2 linked regions of the Notamacropus eugenii genome follow. The protein of the gene in region 1 interacts with the protein of each later gene in a biochemical or structural test. Links are inferred from orthologs where the notes say so. Each region holds a gene or a part of one and is shown in the gene's direction. Other genes may lie near its edges.

Region 1 (7,421 bases):
AATCACCTAGTGAGCACGTTTGGCCTATGTTTTACTATAGAAAATCCTATATAAACTTTAATTGTACCCCTCTAAGGTCTCAGGTTCCCGAAGAACTCTTACCCCCTGAAAAGTGTAATAAATTTTTACCACCTTGACCTTTAGAATGCTTGAGTCCATGAATTCTTTCAAGATGACCAACAAACTGAACTCCAGTCTTGGGGTTCCTGTACCTTTCTAGCCCTCACCAGAGTCAGGCATGTTTGAACAACTTTCTTTCCTGCTCACTTGGCATAACTTTCAAGAACCCAGGTCAGTCCTGAACCACAGTGATGTATCTGAATAGGACTACAGTTGAGATAATTACTAGACTTTCGATAAGAGGCAATGCTTTAAGTTAGGGGATTTTAAAGGTCTGAGATTCACAGATCATGAGTGTCTGATGATAGATTTCAGGGACTCTATGAACTTGGATGGGAGAAAAAAATTATCTTTATTTTTACTAACATCTAACTGAAATTTATTATTTCCTTCATTTATTTAAAAACATTATTCAGTGAAGTCCTTAGGTGTCACTAGATTGCCAGGCTGGCGCATGATGCACACACCACACACACACACACACACACACACACACACACACACACACACACAAGATCTTTGATTAAAGTCTTATTCCAAAGTTTCATAGGTTATCCTGGATCCTTGAAGGCTATTCCAACAGACCACAACCTCAAGGAGGTCTGGCAGGTTGGACTAGCTTCAGATCTGGGCCTAGTAATGACTTGTCCTCAAGGACCTATCCTATAAGCCTAGCACATCACCAGGAGTTTGGCTACTAGGGATGGGTTTTCTTTGGCCACAGAAATCCATGGAGATAATTCACTCCTGAAGTATTGGAGTGGTTATAATCTATGTCAATGGAAGATAAGAAGATTGTGTTTGTAGCCAAACAACCAGGATTGCCATCCTTGCTTTGCCATTTAGTACCTGCATGACTGGGCAAAAATCTCTCTGTGCCTTGTTTTCCTTATCTGTTAAATGATGGGGTTGAACTGGGGAATCACTAAGGTTCCTTTCAACTCTGTAGCTATGATCATATATGATCATGGCTCCTTGAAGTCAGGAAATTATCCTTTATTATAAATTATTCTTTATATTAGGCAAATAGTGCCCAGTATAATATCTTGCCCATAGGAGGTGAAATTGAGTAAATTGAGTTGTATTGGATGGCCTTTGAAGTCCCTTTTAGCATTCTATGATCTTATAATTCATGAACATATATTTGTTGCCAACTCTGGAGTCAGGACGACCTGAATTCAAGATTGGCCTCCGATACTTGCTACCTGTGTGACCCTGGGCAAGTCACTTAATCCTGTTTGCCTCAGTTTCCTCATCTGTACAACAAGCTGGAGAAGGAAATGGAAAACCACTCCTGTATCTTTGCTGGGAAAGCCTCAAATGGGGTCATGAAGAGTCCGACACAACTAACTGACCAAAAAAACCAACCCCCAAAAACCTAACCAAATTGACTTCATCAGATATGTTATATAATGCAAAGAACCTCTCCATTCATTTTAGCTTTGTGATGCAAATATACTGAAATATGCTTTATAAAAGTGACCAGATCTACCACTAAATTAAGTGCAGGACTGATGAGTTATCTAAAGTTTCTTATAGATGTAAATCTATGATCCTATGATCTGTGACAAGAATGACGCGGGCTGAAGTCCAAGGGAGGGAAAAGGTAAAATACAAGTATATCTATATAGTAGTGATACCTGTGACTGATCACACCCAAATGTCAGTTTCACTGCTTTAATTATCTGTATATGCCTTTCATCTTGGATTAACCAGATTATATGTCTTGGTTTACCCAGCCTCATATTTAATTTGACTTCATTTATAATAGATTAATTTTCTGTAATACCTCAGGTGATCATGGGAAAGTAATTTCTCTAAGCCTGAGTTTCCTCCATCCCAATAATAATAATACCTGTACACCTTACCTCACAGGGTTGTTGCAAGGCTCAAATGAAATAATAGGTGTAAACTTTTTTTTTTTTGCAAATTTTCAGATGCCATATAAATATCAGTTTAATTATTTTATTATTTTTGTGGCTCCTGGAATAGGTAGATATAAAAGTTTGGATTATAAAATTATGCAAATAATTCTTAAGAACATCCTATACATGAATACCTCCACGTTTCTCATTTTTATGTAGTTTGCTCAGAATTTCCCATTTTATGAATTTTATGTATATGTGTTCTTCAAGACATTTGCATATTCTAGCAGATTTCTTGGTGCAGGTGTAGAGAAGTGACTATAATCTGTTGTGATCGTGCCTCAGAAACCCTCACCCGGCTAAGCAGATAAAAAGAACAAATTAAAAGTGAGTCAGATAGGCAGCAGTTCAGCCTTGCATAATGCCCATGTTGAGAATTTTTCTGCTAGAAGGGTCCTGCCAGGAACTTGATTGCAATGTCTCGCTTACTTACTCACTCTCCCTCCAGCATCAGCTGATGGAGAAAGAAAATTGCAACTTATTTCTTTTATTCTCAGGCATAATATTGATATTTTAACTTGCATCTATCTTTCCTCTCCCACTACATGTCATACCTAAACTGGAAGGATTTAAAAAAATAAATCAAGGTCCCAGGAACTCATGATTGCTTCGAGCCTTTCTGTCATCTTGAGAGAAAAAAAAATGTACAAAACAGAAAATGTTATTTCATTTTTGCTGTTTTTTTCAAATTTGGTTACTAGATCTGCTTATTTTATAGGAGGAGATCCTAGGACCTGCGTTAGAATCCTAGCTCTTACTTTACTTCCCTGTACACAGTAAGATCTTAATTAATGTTATTGATTTGACTGCCTTTGTAATCCTAACCTTTATGGGCAGCAGGTTCTTCATCTAAATGAAGCCAGCTTTAATCTAGTGCTCCTCTGGGAGAAAGAAGTTTTGTTTTTTAATTGATCATCAGTTAAATCATTCTAGGTTCAAAAATGCATTATTTTAGAACCTGGGTATTTACAGTTAGGACCCTTCTAGATAGTCACATATTATATACATGGGTTTTCTTTTCTTTCTGTTCTTGCTAAATTACCAAATATGTATGCATATGTTATAACACTAATCCTAAACCTTAACCTAACTTTCACCCTAACCCCCCCATGTTGACTGGACTTCTGTAGCAAATTTATGGGAAGAAAAGAGGTGAGGAGGGTGAGCAGGCATGAATGAGTTGAGATTTGCACCTCATTAGGGAGAGATCACTGACCCATTTGAGTGTCTGGGCATTCTTTCTCTACACTTACTTACTATCCCCTGAGATTGTGGACGTGGGATGTGGGATAATTTTTGCCTGAATTGGAAGGTCCATAGACAGGAAGGTGCTAGAAGCCCTCCAGCCTCCCTCATTATAATCGTACTGTTCTCTCAAGTCTGAAAGGTGGGAGAAAATGCTGAAAAGACCGTAGAAATGGGCATGGTCCTCTTTGTCAATAGGGAACAGTGACCATTGTGAAGGGGTTAAGAAACAAGACAACAGAAGAAGAGGGGGTTCAGGATGGCTTGGAGCAATCATTTTAATCCTCTCTTCTCCCCACACTTTACAAAAATCCCTTTTCCCACTCCAATCTCGGAAACGTAGCCCTCAGTGTAGCGCAGGGGCTTCCCGGGCTAGAGTTAAGCCCTCGAGTTTAGAAGCGAACATTTTCCCTCCAACAATACAGTTGGAGAAAATTAACATCAGTTGTTTGTTTGTTTTTTTTAAATTTTAAATCGAGCGCCTTGCCCTCTCAACCATTGTGCTTGGCACTGGAAGTGTAGATAAGGTTTGGCTCCCAGCCTCCTCCTCCTCGGATGACTTGAACTGGCAGAGAACTGCAGTGGTCAGTTTGGGATTCTGGTCAGGGGCTGAGCCCAGAACAGGTCCCTAGCCCGGGCGCCTAGCAGCCTTATTGTCTGAGTGAGCACCTGCCAGGTGGAGGCACCCGCCCCGATGGCTCATTAGCAGGTGGTGCCGGGCAGGGCAATGGCTTCACCAAGCACTCGGGCAAGGCAGTCCTAGTCCGGTAAACACCTCCGGCGTCCAGACCACAGCCCAGCCGAGGAAAGGTGAAGGCGGCTCCGGAGGACTGGAAGGGGGCGGGAGAAGGTGTCCAATCGTGACCTCCTCCCGGATCGGGAGTGCGCACGTCTAGAGAGAGGGAGCCGAGCGGGGGGCTGGCAGGGGTTAGAAGTGGGAGAGAGCCAGAGGAAGAGAGAGAGGGAGAGGGAGAGGAGGGGAGCCAGGAGGGGCGTGGCCGCCGCGCAGGGGGAGGGCGCTGGAGGAGGGGCTGCTCTCCTTGGCTATCCTCTGCTCGCCCGGCTCCCAGCTCCGGGGGCTTCGCTGGTGTGCCGCGCTGGGTGCATTTGGACTGCAGGAGGACCGCGGAGCTGAGCTCCGACCCCGAGCAGCTGCAGGATGAGCGGGGCTCCTGGTGCCTGGGATTTGCTGGGTCTCCTGATTCTGCTGAGCTTTCAGACAGGTGGGTTAGCTGCTACCTACACGCACCTTCTGCCCCCTCTTATTTTTCCTGGGAATGTTATCCACCTTGCAAAACCTGTGCTCCGGGGGAGCGTGTGAAGGTCCTGGCGGTTCTCGTGCGCCCCGGGTCCGGAGGGCTCTGGAGGGGTAGGCACGCATGAGACTTCCCTTTGGGTTTCCCGAGCCTTTTACTTGCGCTTAGGAGGGTGTACCTGCTCCCTTGGGCAGAAACAAAGCGTTTGGGCCGGGTGGAGCTGAGAGGGAGCCACCGGGAGTGAGTCTGGGCCAGAGGGGGCTGCGGGGGACGGACGCGGGGGTGCCTTTGGATTTCTTTTGTGTGGAGCTCGTGGGTGCGGAGGGCCGGGGGATGGATCGTGAAACTGGAGCTCTCCACGTTGGAAGGCGTTCGGCCGCAGCTTCCTTTTGTTGAAAGTTGTCTGCGGCCGGCGCGTCCGAGTCCAGCAGGTTCTGGGCTCGGTGGAAAGGGAAAGTTGGCCCTCCTGGGCTCTTTCCTGGCCTCCAGCCGCCTCTGCCTGCTGTGCAAAGCCTCGGGCACCCTTTGTGCCGGGGGAACGCGGGTGTGGAAGGACAGGGGACGGACTGAGGCAGACCCTTTGGTTCCTGCAGTCACCCACCGCGGTGGCCGGCGTACCTCCGGACCGTCCCCCTCTTCTGGCCTTTGGAAATGAACTGCACGCTCCTTTGGTGTTTAACCTTGGGAACCCGCAGCGTGCGGGTCTGGGGCTGCACATCCTGCGGCCAGAGGTGTCCATAAAGGAGGCTGCAGACTTAAAAATAATAATAATCCCGTCCCACTTCCTTGCTGGGGTGGCTGCAAGGCTCATTCATCCCTCCCGCCTTTCCTCCTTCCAGACGCGGTGGGAGGGGGCCGCTGGGTCCTGCGCTTTGGCTCCCGCGCGGGAGGAGGGAAGGCGCTGAGCCATTTACCCGGTGCGCTCCCCAACTTAAAGCGGCGCGCGCTCCCAGTGGAAGGACGAGGCACCGGCGCTGGGCTGCGGGAGGGACCTGCGGCCGGTGCCTCCTCGGCCCCCTGGATTCTTAGGATATCTAGGGATTCCCAAGAGGGAAACTGGCGCGCAGCAAGTGGGATAGTAGGAGGAGACGCCAAAAAGCACATTTTGATCTAGTATTAAAGGCGGATTCTAGGAAAGTCCCCATGCACCGACAGGCAGCGGTTTGGAACTTGGAGGGAACCTTGATCCCTCGATGCTGCAAATATCTATGGAGCGCCTGCTAATCTGCACCATCCTCTCCCTGCCTCTCCCCGCATTGGGTGGCCGTCTGGTGGTAAATGGTCCTTAGGACCCTAGTTCTTAAGAGTGTCCTTTAAAAAAATGCTCAAAAAAACCCATTCCTTCTCCAACAAAGAAGGTAACAGCTAAGTAACATATGTTGACCATTCCTGACCGTGATAAATGAGGCATTCCTCACCTATATTCCACCACCTCCCGGGAGAGGAGGGAGTTTTGCTTCCATTCCCTTTGTGCAACCTGAAAGATGAAAATAAAAGAGCTAAACGTGGGCTTTTAGTGTGTGAGGGTGAATGGAAAGCTTTGCTGCCCCCTCCGATCTGACTGAGGTCAGGAAAAGGGAATTCAGCCATTTACTCGCTATTGTGGGAATGAATGAAAACACCAGAGGCACTGGGTCGGAGTTTCCCTGCAACTTGTAAAAGCTTAGCGTGCCCGCTCAGATGTTTGTTTTTCGGCATTGTAAAGCTTTTCCTGTGGGGGGAGGAGAGACCTCGGCGCTCCGGACTCTTGTCCTCATCTGGACTGGGATGGAAACGCCGGACTGGGTTCCCTGACGCATTCGGAGCATCTAGCCTTAGCAGTTGAGCCCCCTCGGTGCCCTTGGAGAGGACAGCTAGATCTCAGCAGAGCTCTGCTGACAGCCAGCCAAGCCAGAACAGTGTCTATTTGGGGTCCTCTGTGAAGTCAATTTCCTCTCCTGCTTGATACTTTGCCTCTTTCAATATACTTTTTTGCATAGCGAATTTTTTTTTCCAGCCTCTCTTCGTCACCTGGGCTCAGAACTAATGTATGTCCTCTGATACACTTGATGTATACAGAGGCCCCCCCCCCCCAATTTTTTACCTGGTGCCTCAGACTCCCAACTCTACTCCAGCCTCTCTCCCTGCAGGGTTGGATCTCCTGGTGTTCTTTCCTTTAGGTGGTAAGAAAAGTGTGTGTGTGTGTGTGTGTGTGTGTGTGTGTGTGTGTGTGTGTGTGTGTGTGTGTGTGTGTGTGTGTGTGTGTCTCTGTCTCTGTGTGTGTGTGTGCATTGATGCAGCTTTCTACCCGAATTAATGTCAGAAGCAGGATGAAACTGCCAGCAGCAGCAGTGAATCATAAGGTCCCTCTTCCTGCCGCTGCTGCGGTGTTGGGCAAGAACCATCCAGAGACAGAGGACAGAAGATATTCTGGGACTGCTGAAAACATGATGGATATGAAAAAGGAAGACAGTTTACCTAACTCCATTCTACACCTCTCCCTTTCTACTCCCCCATTCTTTTCCTTAGAATCTCTTGCATTCCAATTAGAATATGTTTCTTGAGGTCAGGGGCTTTTTGTCATTTCAGCCCAGCTTTGTTCCTTACATATACTGGATCCTAAAATTCTTCTTGCATTAGATTTGGATACAGTGTTTGTTATATTCGAACTAAAGTCTGTCGGTCTACCTTTGCCTTAAATTTCATTTTGCCCAATTTTATATTTGTGCCTAACATAATTCCCAAAACAACATAATTCCCTCCCAGAAAATGGGAGGGTACATTTCTTAGAAGTTTTCTTAGAAATTTAAAACAAAACAAAGTAGTTCTTAACTCTTGGGGTGTACCCACTTTTACGACAAAACATAATTTACATTCCAAAAAGAGCCTCTTCCTT
Region 2 (7,828 bases), on another chromosome or scaffold:
ATTTAGATGGAGAGAGAAATTAGCAGATATGTCAAATTTGAAATAGTTAAAGAAGCTGGGGAAATATAGCTTGCAGAATCAATGGCTTGGTGGTAGTATGTGAATGTATGTGGAAAGGTGATGTTTAAAGACTGTGCAACAGAATAGGAATAGCTGTCTTGTGGGAAAAAGAGATTAAATTTATTCTATGTAATCAATCAATCAACAAGCATTCATGAAGCACCTTCTATGTTCCAGATACTGTCCTAGATATGTAATATAAAGATAAAAGTAAAATAATCTTTGCCCTCAAGTATTTTATCTTCTGGGTCAGCTTGGTGGTACAGTGGATAGTGTTGGGCTCAGAGTCAGGAAGACATGTGTTCAAATCCAGCCTAATTTACTAGCTGTGTGGCCCTGGGCAAGTCACTTAATCCTCTTTGCCTCGGTTTCCTCTTGTGTAAAATGAACTGGAGAAGGAAATGGCAAACCACTCCAGTATCTCTGCCAAGAAAATTCCCAAATGGGGGTCACAAAAGTTAGTCATGACTGAACAGCAACCACCTTACATTCTGGGGAGGAAGGAAACAGGTTGACAGATAGGTAAATACAGGATAGGTTATATATGAAATAAATGCACAGTGATTGGAAGGAGGTCATTAACAACTAGGAGAATCAGAAAAGACCTCTTAAAGGAAATGGCACTTGAGTAAAACCTTGAAGGGAGCCTGGGATTTGAAGAAGTGAGTGGGGAAGGCATTCCACATATCCGATATAGGTTGTACAAATACTTGGAGGGGTAGGATGAAAGACTTTGTAGGATTGGTAAGAGCTTTAAATATCCAAATGAAGAATTTGTATCTTACCCTCAGGACAATGGAGGGCCACAGATGCCTTTATGAACAGAGTAGAGTGGTAAGGGGAGAGAGAGAGAGAGAGAGAGAGAGAGAGAGAGAGAGAGAGAGAAAGAGAGAGAGAGAGAGAGAGACATAGAGGGAGACAGAGAAGAGAAGAGAGAGATGGGAAAGAGGGGAGAGAGACACAGAGGAGAGAAAGAAGAAAAAAGAGGAGGGAAAAAGAGAGAGAGAGAGAGAGAGAGGGAAGGAGATGAGAAAGAGAAAGAAAAGAGACAGAGGAGAAAGAGGAGGCGAGAAAAGACAGAGAGAGGAAAGAAGAGGAGAGGGGAAGACTGAGGGAAGGAGAGAGGGAGAAGGGGGAAGGGGGGTTCATTCTCAAAGGTTAGATTGGAGGACTCAGAAAAATAGCCACATTTTTTAATGTCTTCCCATTTTCTAATTACCACAGTGATGGACTCAGACATGGCACTTTTTTGGAAAGAAGTTGATAGGGGTATTCTAGCAATGTAAACTCGAAACATATGGTACCTGGGGAGAATGATTGCATTAAGGTTGTGTTTAGCTGGCTAGCATCACCCAGATCCACACAGAAACCCCTCATCCTTCTGGGGAATTCCCTCTACTCTCTGATTTTAGAAGATAAATCCTAGGGAGTTGTCTGGGGCTCAGAGATATTAATAAACTTGTCCTGGGTCTCACAGCTGGTAAGGGACTGGGGTGAGGTCTCTGAAATCCAAAGCTTCCTGATTGCAAATCCAGTGCCCCGTTCATTTTACCATTCTACTCCTCAATTCACAATATCCAGAGGCACCTTTTCCTCCAATTTTTAAATGGGTTGAAGTACATATTCCTGAATGTCTATAAAATCCACAAAGTCTGATAAAAATAGGGATTTGGAGGGAGGTAAAGAAAAAGCAGGGGAGAGAGAGACAGGGACAGAGACAGATGGAGAGGCAGAGACAGAGAGACAAAGAGAGAAAGAGAGAGACAGAGAAGGAGAGGCAGAGATGTTGATAGACAAAAACAGAAATATACAGAGACAGAAAGAATGAGACAGGAACAAAGACGGAAAGAAACACAGAAGGCACAGAGAGGCAGAGATAGATCTACGAATACAATGAGAGAGAATCAGATACACACTGAGAGACAGAGCGGGGCAGAGACAAAGAGACAGAAATAAAGACAGAGACACACAGAGACAGAAAGACATCCATTTGAATTCAGTAATAAGACATCTCAGTCAACCTTCTGATCTATTTCTAAATTGCTTGACAATATATGCCTTTTAAACTAAAAGTTAGAGTAATCATGTAATACTCTTCCCTTTTTCCTGGAAGAATTCTTTTTGCAAACATTAATTTTCCTAACTGCGGAGCGGGAGGCATCCTTCCAGCTGGGGCAACAAAGGCGTAGAAAAATAATTGGATGAGGAACCCATAATAGCAGAGCTGAGAATTCAATTCCTCCTTTAACCTCTTTACGGGGCCTTTGAGATTTCTTTGGTTTCTTCTTGTCTGGTCCTAGCAGGTGTTCCCTAAATTCATTCTGAGTAAACAAAATATAAACCATATTAACCAGATTTTTCTAAATTGACCATGTATGAAGGGATAGAAGCCGTAGCATGCCACAGTAGAATAAGAGGCAGATTGGAAATCAGAGGACCTGGGTTCATTCTCAGCTCAAATAATTACCACCTGGATGACCTTGGGCAAATCATTTAACCTCTAGGGGTTTAATTTAATCCCTTTGAAAAATGAAGGTAGTGAGCTCTCAAAAACCTTTTTTTTTTTTTTTTGCACTTAGCACAATGTCCGTCACATAGTAGGTAATTAATAAATTCATGTTGATTGAATATCATGGATCCTTTTGTCAACCTGGTGAAATCTAAGGAACTGTTCTCATAATTATGTTTTTACATGTATAAAATAAAATACATAGAGTTATAAAGGAAACCAATTGTAATGGAAAAGTTATCAACATATATTACCAAAAAAAAGGTCAGGGAACCCAGATTAAGAACCCCTGGCCTCACTTCCCTGGTCACTTTCTTCAGAGGACTTTTCCTGATTCCCTAAAGTTAATGCCCCATGCATGATACATTTGCACTTTTTTTTCATTCTCCCAAGATTGTGAAAAGAAAGGTCAGGCCAATCAATTGATCATAAACCAGTTATCAAGCTAACAGGCATTGCTCAAAGTCTTACAATGTGTAATGCGCTGGTTTAGGGTTGGGGAAACACAGAAACGTGGTCAACAGTCCCCTCAGGGAGCGAACTTCCTAAATGGATAGACTTTTGAATACGTTGATACCCGTGGGGTACATACGGAGCAGATTGCAGGTCACCTTAAGGAGAAGGCTTTAGCAGCCGAGGGAGGCAGGGGAAGGATGTTGGGGTGGTGGGGGCAGGAAAGGGGCTTTTTTGAGCTGAGTTTTGAAGGAAGTCAGATATTTTAAGAGATGAACGTGTGAGCCAGGAACTGTAATATAAAATACCGTGTTTGAAAACTCTTTATAAGCTGACCTCTCCTACTTTTCCAGACTTCTTATAGCCTTATAACCCCTCTGTGCATTCCTGGTCCATTGAAAATGGCCTTTTTGCTGTTCCCCTCAAAAGACATTTGCGTCTCCCGATTTTCCACTGGAATCTCCCAGACCTGGGGTCCTCTGCCTCTTACCTCCCCCTCCTGGCTTCGTTCAAGTCTCTGCTAAAATCTCCCTCTCTACAAGCAATCTTTTCAGGTACCCCTCAATGCCAGAGCCTTCCCTCTGGGGACACCTCCAATTTAATCCGTATATATCGTATGTATACATAATTGTTTTCTGGTCATCTCCCCCGTGGCCTCCCCCGACTGTGAACTCAGTGTGGTTCAGGAACCTTTTTCTGTATCCTTGGCTTACCATCAAAATGTCTGTTGACTGACTTAAGGTGTTTGTGATAGAAAGACCAATGAAAGAGACTGTCCTCAAGGCTCTTACATGCCATAGGGGAGCCCTGTTCTTATGCATACAAGTATATCTAAAGTAGGTGGGATTTTTTTTTCTATTTTCAAACTCTCTGGCTGTGTAATTTCTTTCCAAATTGACGTAGATCATTTTCTGTAAGAGAACTTTTATACACCATTTTCTCCACATTCTTTAAAAAGCTAAAAAAAAAAAACAAACCTAAATTTAATATGTAAATCATCCTGACAATAAACTAAAATCCCGATAACAGCAGTCTAGAAAAGGGACAAGTTAGAAAGCCTTGGGAAGTCTGTTTCACTCTAAGTAAAATTCATTTCCTATAGTGTTAGTAATCCTGGTACTCTGACTGTCCTCGGGGCCCACTTTACTTTTACTTTTTAAAGCTTATTATTAGTAAAAGGCCGAGAGGATCTTTTGCTGGCTTTCGATGCGGAGATGGAAAGCTTTAACCCTCCGTTGAGGAAAGAGCAGGTTCCAGGAGTGGGCGAGCTGTGAACAGTGGCGTTCCTTGGAATCTTCTCTGTCCCCAAGAGGTGACAGGTGAGCCTGGGAGCCTCCCGAAGCCCGGGGGAGGGCACTGGGGGCCGAGGGCAAGGGTAGCTCCTTCTCGGCTCAGCGGCTGTCCCGGGGGGCAGCCCCAGCAGCAGCAGCAGCGGGCACCAGCTTCGCGTCCCCTTGCTTCTAACCCTTCCCGCATTCTGTTCGCGGGTAGCCTCCTTGCCAGTGCGTGCCCAAGAAAGATGGGATCGGGTTACCTTCGCTGGCAATGGGATGAGCTTGGCCTAATTTGTCCAACTTCTCTCTCACCGACTGGAGTTCTTACAGCCCTCCCACCCCTTTCCTACCCTCCTCTTCCCCCCCCCTCCCAGGGGCCTCCCCCACCCATCCACCCTCCCCTCCCATCCAGCCTCCTCTGCTCGCAGCCGCTGCGCTCGCCTTTCCAAAGCTCCCAGAGGGAAGAAGGCGTGTCCTGCCTGCCCGCCCGCCCGCCAGCCCGTCCTGCAGCTCCCGCCGCCGCTGCTGGAGGAGCAGGCTGACTGGAGCTATAAAAGCGCTGGCCCGGCGCCGGCTCCGGCTTCACTTACTGCCTCGCGCGGCGACTGGCCGGGAGCGAGCGAGAGAGCGAGCGAGCGAGCGCCGCGGGCGGGGGCGGGCGGCGAACCTGGCTGGAGCTGAGGGCGCAGCGCTCGGGGCTGCCCAATGCGTGCACAATCTGCTGCTGCCGCCGCCGCCGCTGCCCCCTCCGCTTCTCCGCAGCCGCCGCTGCCTCCGCTGCAGCTGCCGCCGCCTCCGCCGCGCCCGGAGCAATATGCTGGAGCCACAGAACAGCTAAACGGAGTTTCCCCGCCGCTGCCTGGGCTGGATTGCAGCGCTGTCGTTCCTTATGAAGAAGACACAAGTAAGTAGAGGACGCGTCCCGCGCCTCGTGCCCCCTTGGGCTGGGGACCGGGCTGGAGGGAGAGGCCGGGGGGTGTGCGTGCCCCAGGGTAGGGAGAATCTGAGCACCTCGGCTGGGATTTGGAACCCTTCCTCCCTTCCACCACCCAGGGGAAGGTGTTGGTCGTGAGAAAGAGAAGGAGCAGGAGAAGGATGGAGGTGCCGAGCTCAGGAACCCCAAGGCGAAAGACTTGGAATGTGCACAGTGCATTGAGAGCCCAAGCTCCCAGAGAGCTGAGATTGTTGCATTCTTTGCATTTGCCTCCCCAGGAATTTTCTCGGTCCCTGGCGCGTAGTAGGCACTTAATGAATGCGTGCCTGTTGACAGATCGATCGATTGATTGGAGAGCCAAGTCCCTTTTTTAAGTTTGGAAAAGAACGGGAGACTGGTTATCAGAAGAGATCTTTTTCTGAAAGGTTGGAGCTCCGGTCTCCGATCTTTCCAAAGCGACGTTAAAAGTTGGCTAGGGAAGACGTTGATTTTCCAGAGGGAAATCTCCACATGGATCCCAGCAGGTTATGAAACGAAATCCCCGCACCCCAGACAAACACATTCACACGCGCACACACTCACACGCATGCACACGCACACACACACACACATAAACACACACCACACACCTATCTTTGCACACTCCCTAAGTCTGAGCAGGTCAGAGGCGTCCTAAAGCAGTCTGCCTGCAAAGAGCAGAGCTTGTAGCGCCCCAGATTCCCTTTCTCAGACTTTTGAAATACGTTAGCCTTTTGCGGCGTAGGACCACCACCCAGCTGTGCAGTAGACCTGAAAATCGCACCCAGTGGCGAAATAACCCCTGGAAACAGCTGATTGCTCCTAGAGAAGTTTTGCTGACCTATAGGGGTGTGTGTGTGTGTGTGTGTGTGTGTGGTGTGTGGTATGTGCGTGACTGTGTCACGCTGCCCAAGAAGGCCAGGCATTACTTTTTTTTTTTTTTACCACCCCAAGAATTCCCACCCCACCTTACTACCGGGGACAGAGGGGGATGGGGTGGGGGGAGGAGAAGGAAGCCAAGGAAAAGTGTGTTCCTTAAAGCTCAGAGTTCCTGAGATTACACTGTAAAATGCTATTTAATTTTAGTCGGAGCTGTGATTGTATCTGTTAGGAAACTGCCTCCACCTATCTAGGCCCATGTGTAATTTATAGCCTCCGAGAAAGATTAAGTGATTTACTCGTGGTCAGGGAGCTAATGCGTATCAGGGCGCGGACTTGAACCTGAGGCTTCCAGGTGCCAAGGCCAACCCGCTACCAGCTTTGTTATATTGCTATGCCGTCTCTCCGCAGTCTAAGAGGACTATTAGGTTGTTAATTTGAGGTAACATTGAATAGCTGTATACTCAGCGACTAGCATAATGCCTGACACGTAGTAGGACGTTAGCAAATGTTGATTTCGTCTGTGTATAGCACCGTTGAGCTCTAAGGCTGGGTTGGTTTTTTTTTTACTTGGTAAGTGTTTAAAAGGAGTCGTCTGAGCCGGTATTTTGAAGGGCTAGAGACAGTTTGTACCACTTTGTACTCTAACTGTATCACCCCAAAGTGAAAGAACTGATATATTGGCTGTATGTTCTATAACTGCCCCCTTTTTATCTCCAGGGGTAAAACAGGCGCTTATGATTTCTGAACTGAAGGGGATGGAAGCAAAGAGGTTTATTTCCTGTTTTCAAAAAAAAATCGTTTTAAAAGTGAGAGCTGTAATAGTCCGTGAAATCTACAAAAACAATTCCTCATGTTTAAGTTACACTTGGAAAGAGATTTACCTTTGAACAGTTTGGTGTCTTCAAAATCTGCTAATTCTCAGTCTAGGGACAATACTGAGTCCATCCATTAATCCATCTAGAGGCAGTGTAGACTGGCATTCTGTATTATCTAAAGAGAAAAGGATACTTCTGAGGGGAGTAGCCCACAGACAATAGAATCATCACTTTTTTTTTTTAAATAGAGATGTAGGAAGCTTAATTTTTAATGTTCTCTTTCCTTAAAGGTAAAGTATTAAATAGTCTACTGGGTCATCTTTGGGAAGTGTTATTGAAATGTAAACGTTAGGAAAAGAAATAGGGTCTGAAGAGTTGCTTACACAGAAGAGGTTTTAAAATACGTTTATTCTCAAGCTGGGGGAGGGTGAGTCAGAGAAATTCCTTCCCAGAGTAGAAGAACCTCTTATGAATGAGAATAACATATTGCACAGACTGGTAGATCAAGATGCTTCTGATAAAGGTAAAATGGTCAAAATGTTCATATTTAAACAAAGCAGTTTGGAGATCATACATAGAACTCTGGAGGCAATCTGCTTAATCCACCCTCTACCCTCCTTCATGTTTGCTCTTCAGTCATGGCTGACTATTCATGCCCCCATTTGGGGTTTTCTTGACAAAGATACTGGAGTGTTTTTGCCATTTCCCTTTCCAGCTCATTTTATGGATGAGGAAACCAAGGCAAACAGGGTTAGGTGACTTGCCCAGAGTCACACGGCTAATAAGTCTCCAAGGCCAGATTTGAACTAAGGAAGAGGAGTCTTCTTGACTCCAGACTAGGCATTCTATCCACTTCATCAACTGGCTGCCCCCTTTTCCTCAG

The links.
Region 2: the proteins of KIT (region 1) and KITLG form a complex in vitro, tested with the Homo sapiens proteins (3 studies listed by BioGRID and IntAct, with this or other methods). The link is inferred for Notamacropus eugenii from reciprocal best matches to the Homo sapiens genes KIT and KITLG.

What each region holds. Positions count from the first base shown.
Region 1 is NC_092877.1:106,134,135-106,141,555, forward strand, and holds the start of KIT (mast/stem cell growth factor receptor Kit), read left to right. Parts: upstream 1-4,320; 5' UTR 4,321-4,449; coding exon 4,450-4,513; intron 4,514-7,421. UniProt on the Homo sapiens protein: Tyrosine-protein kinase that acts as a cell-surface receptor for the cytokine KITLG/SCF and plays an essential role in the regulation of cell survival and proliferation, hematopoiesis, stem cell maintenance, gametogenesis, mast cell development, migration and function, and in melanogenesis.
Region 2 is NC_092874.1:270,541,384-270,549,211, reverse strand, and holds the start of KITLG (kit ligand), read left to right. Parts: upstream 1-4,735; 5' UTR 4,736-5,185; coding exon 5,186-5,200; intron 5,201-7,828. UniProt on the Homo sapiens protein: Ligand for the receptor-type protein-tyrosine kinase KIT. Plays an essential role in the regulation of cell survival and proliferation, hematopoiesis, stem cell maintenance, gametogenesis, mast cell development, migration and function, and in melanogenesis.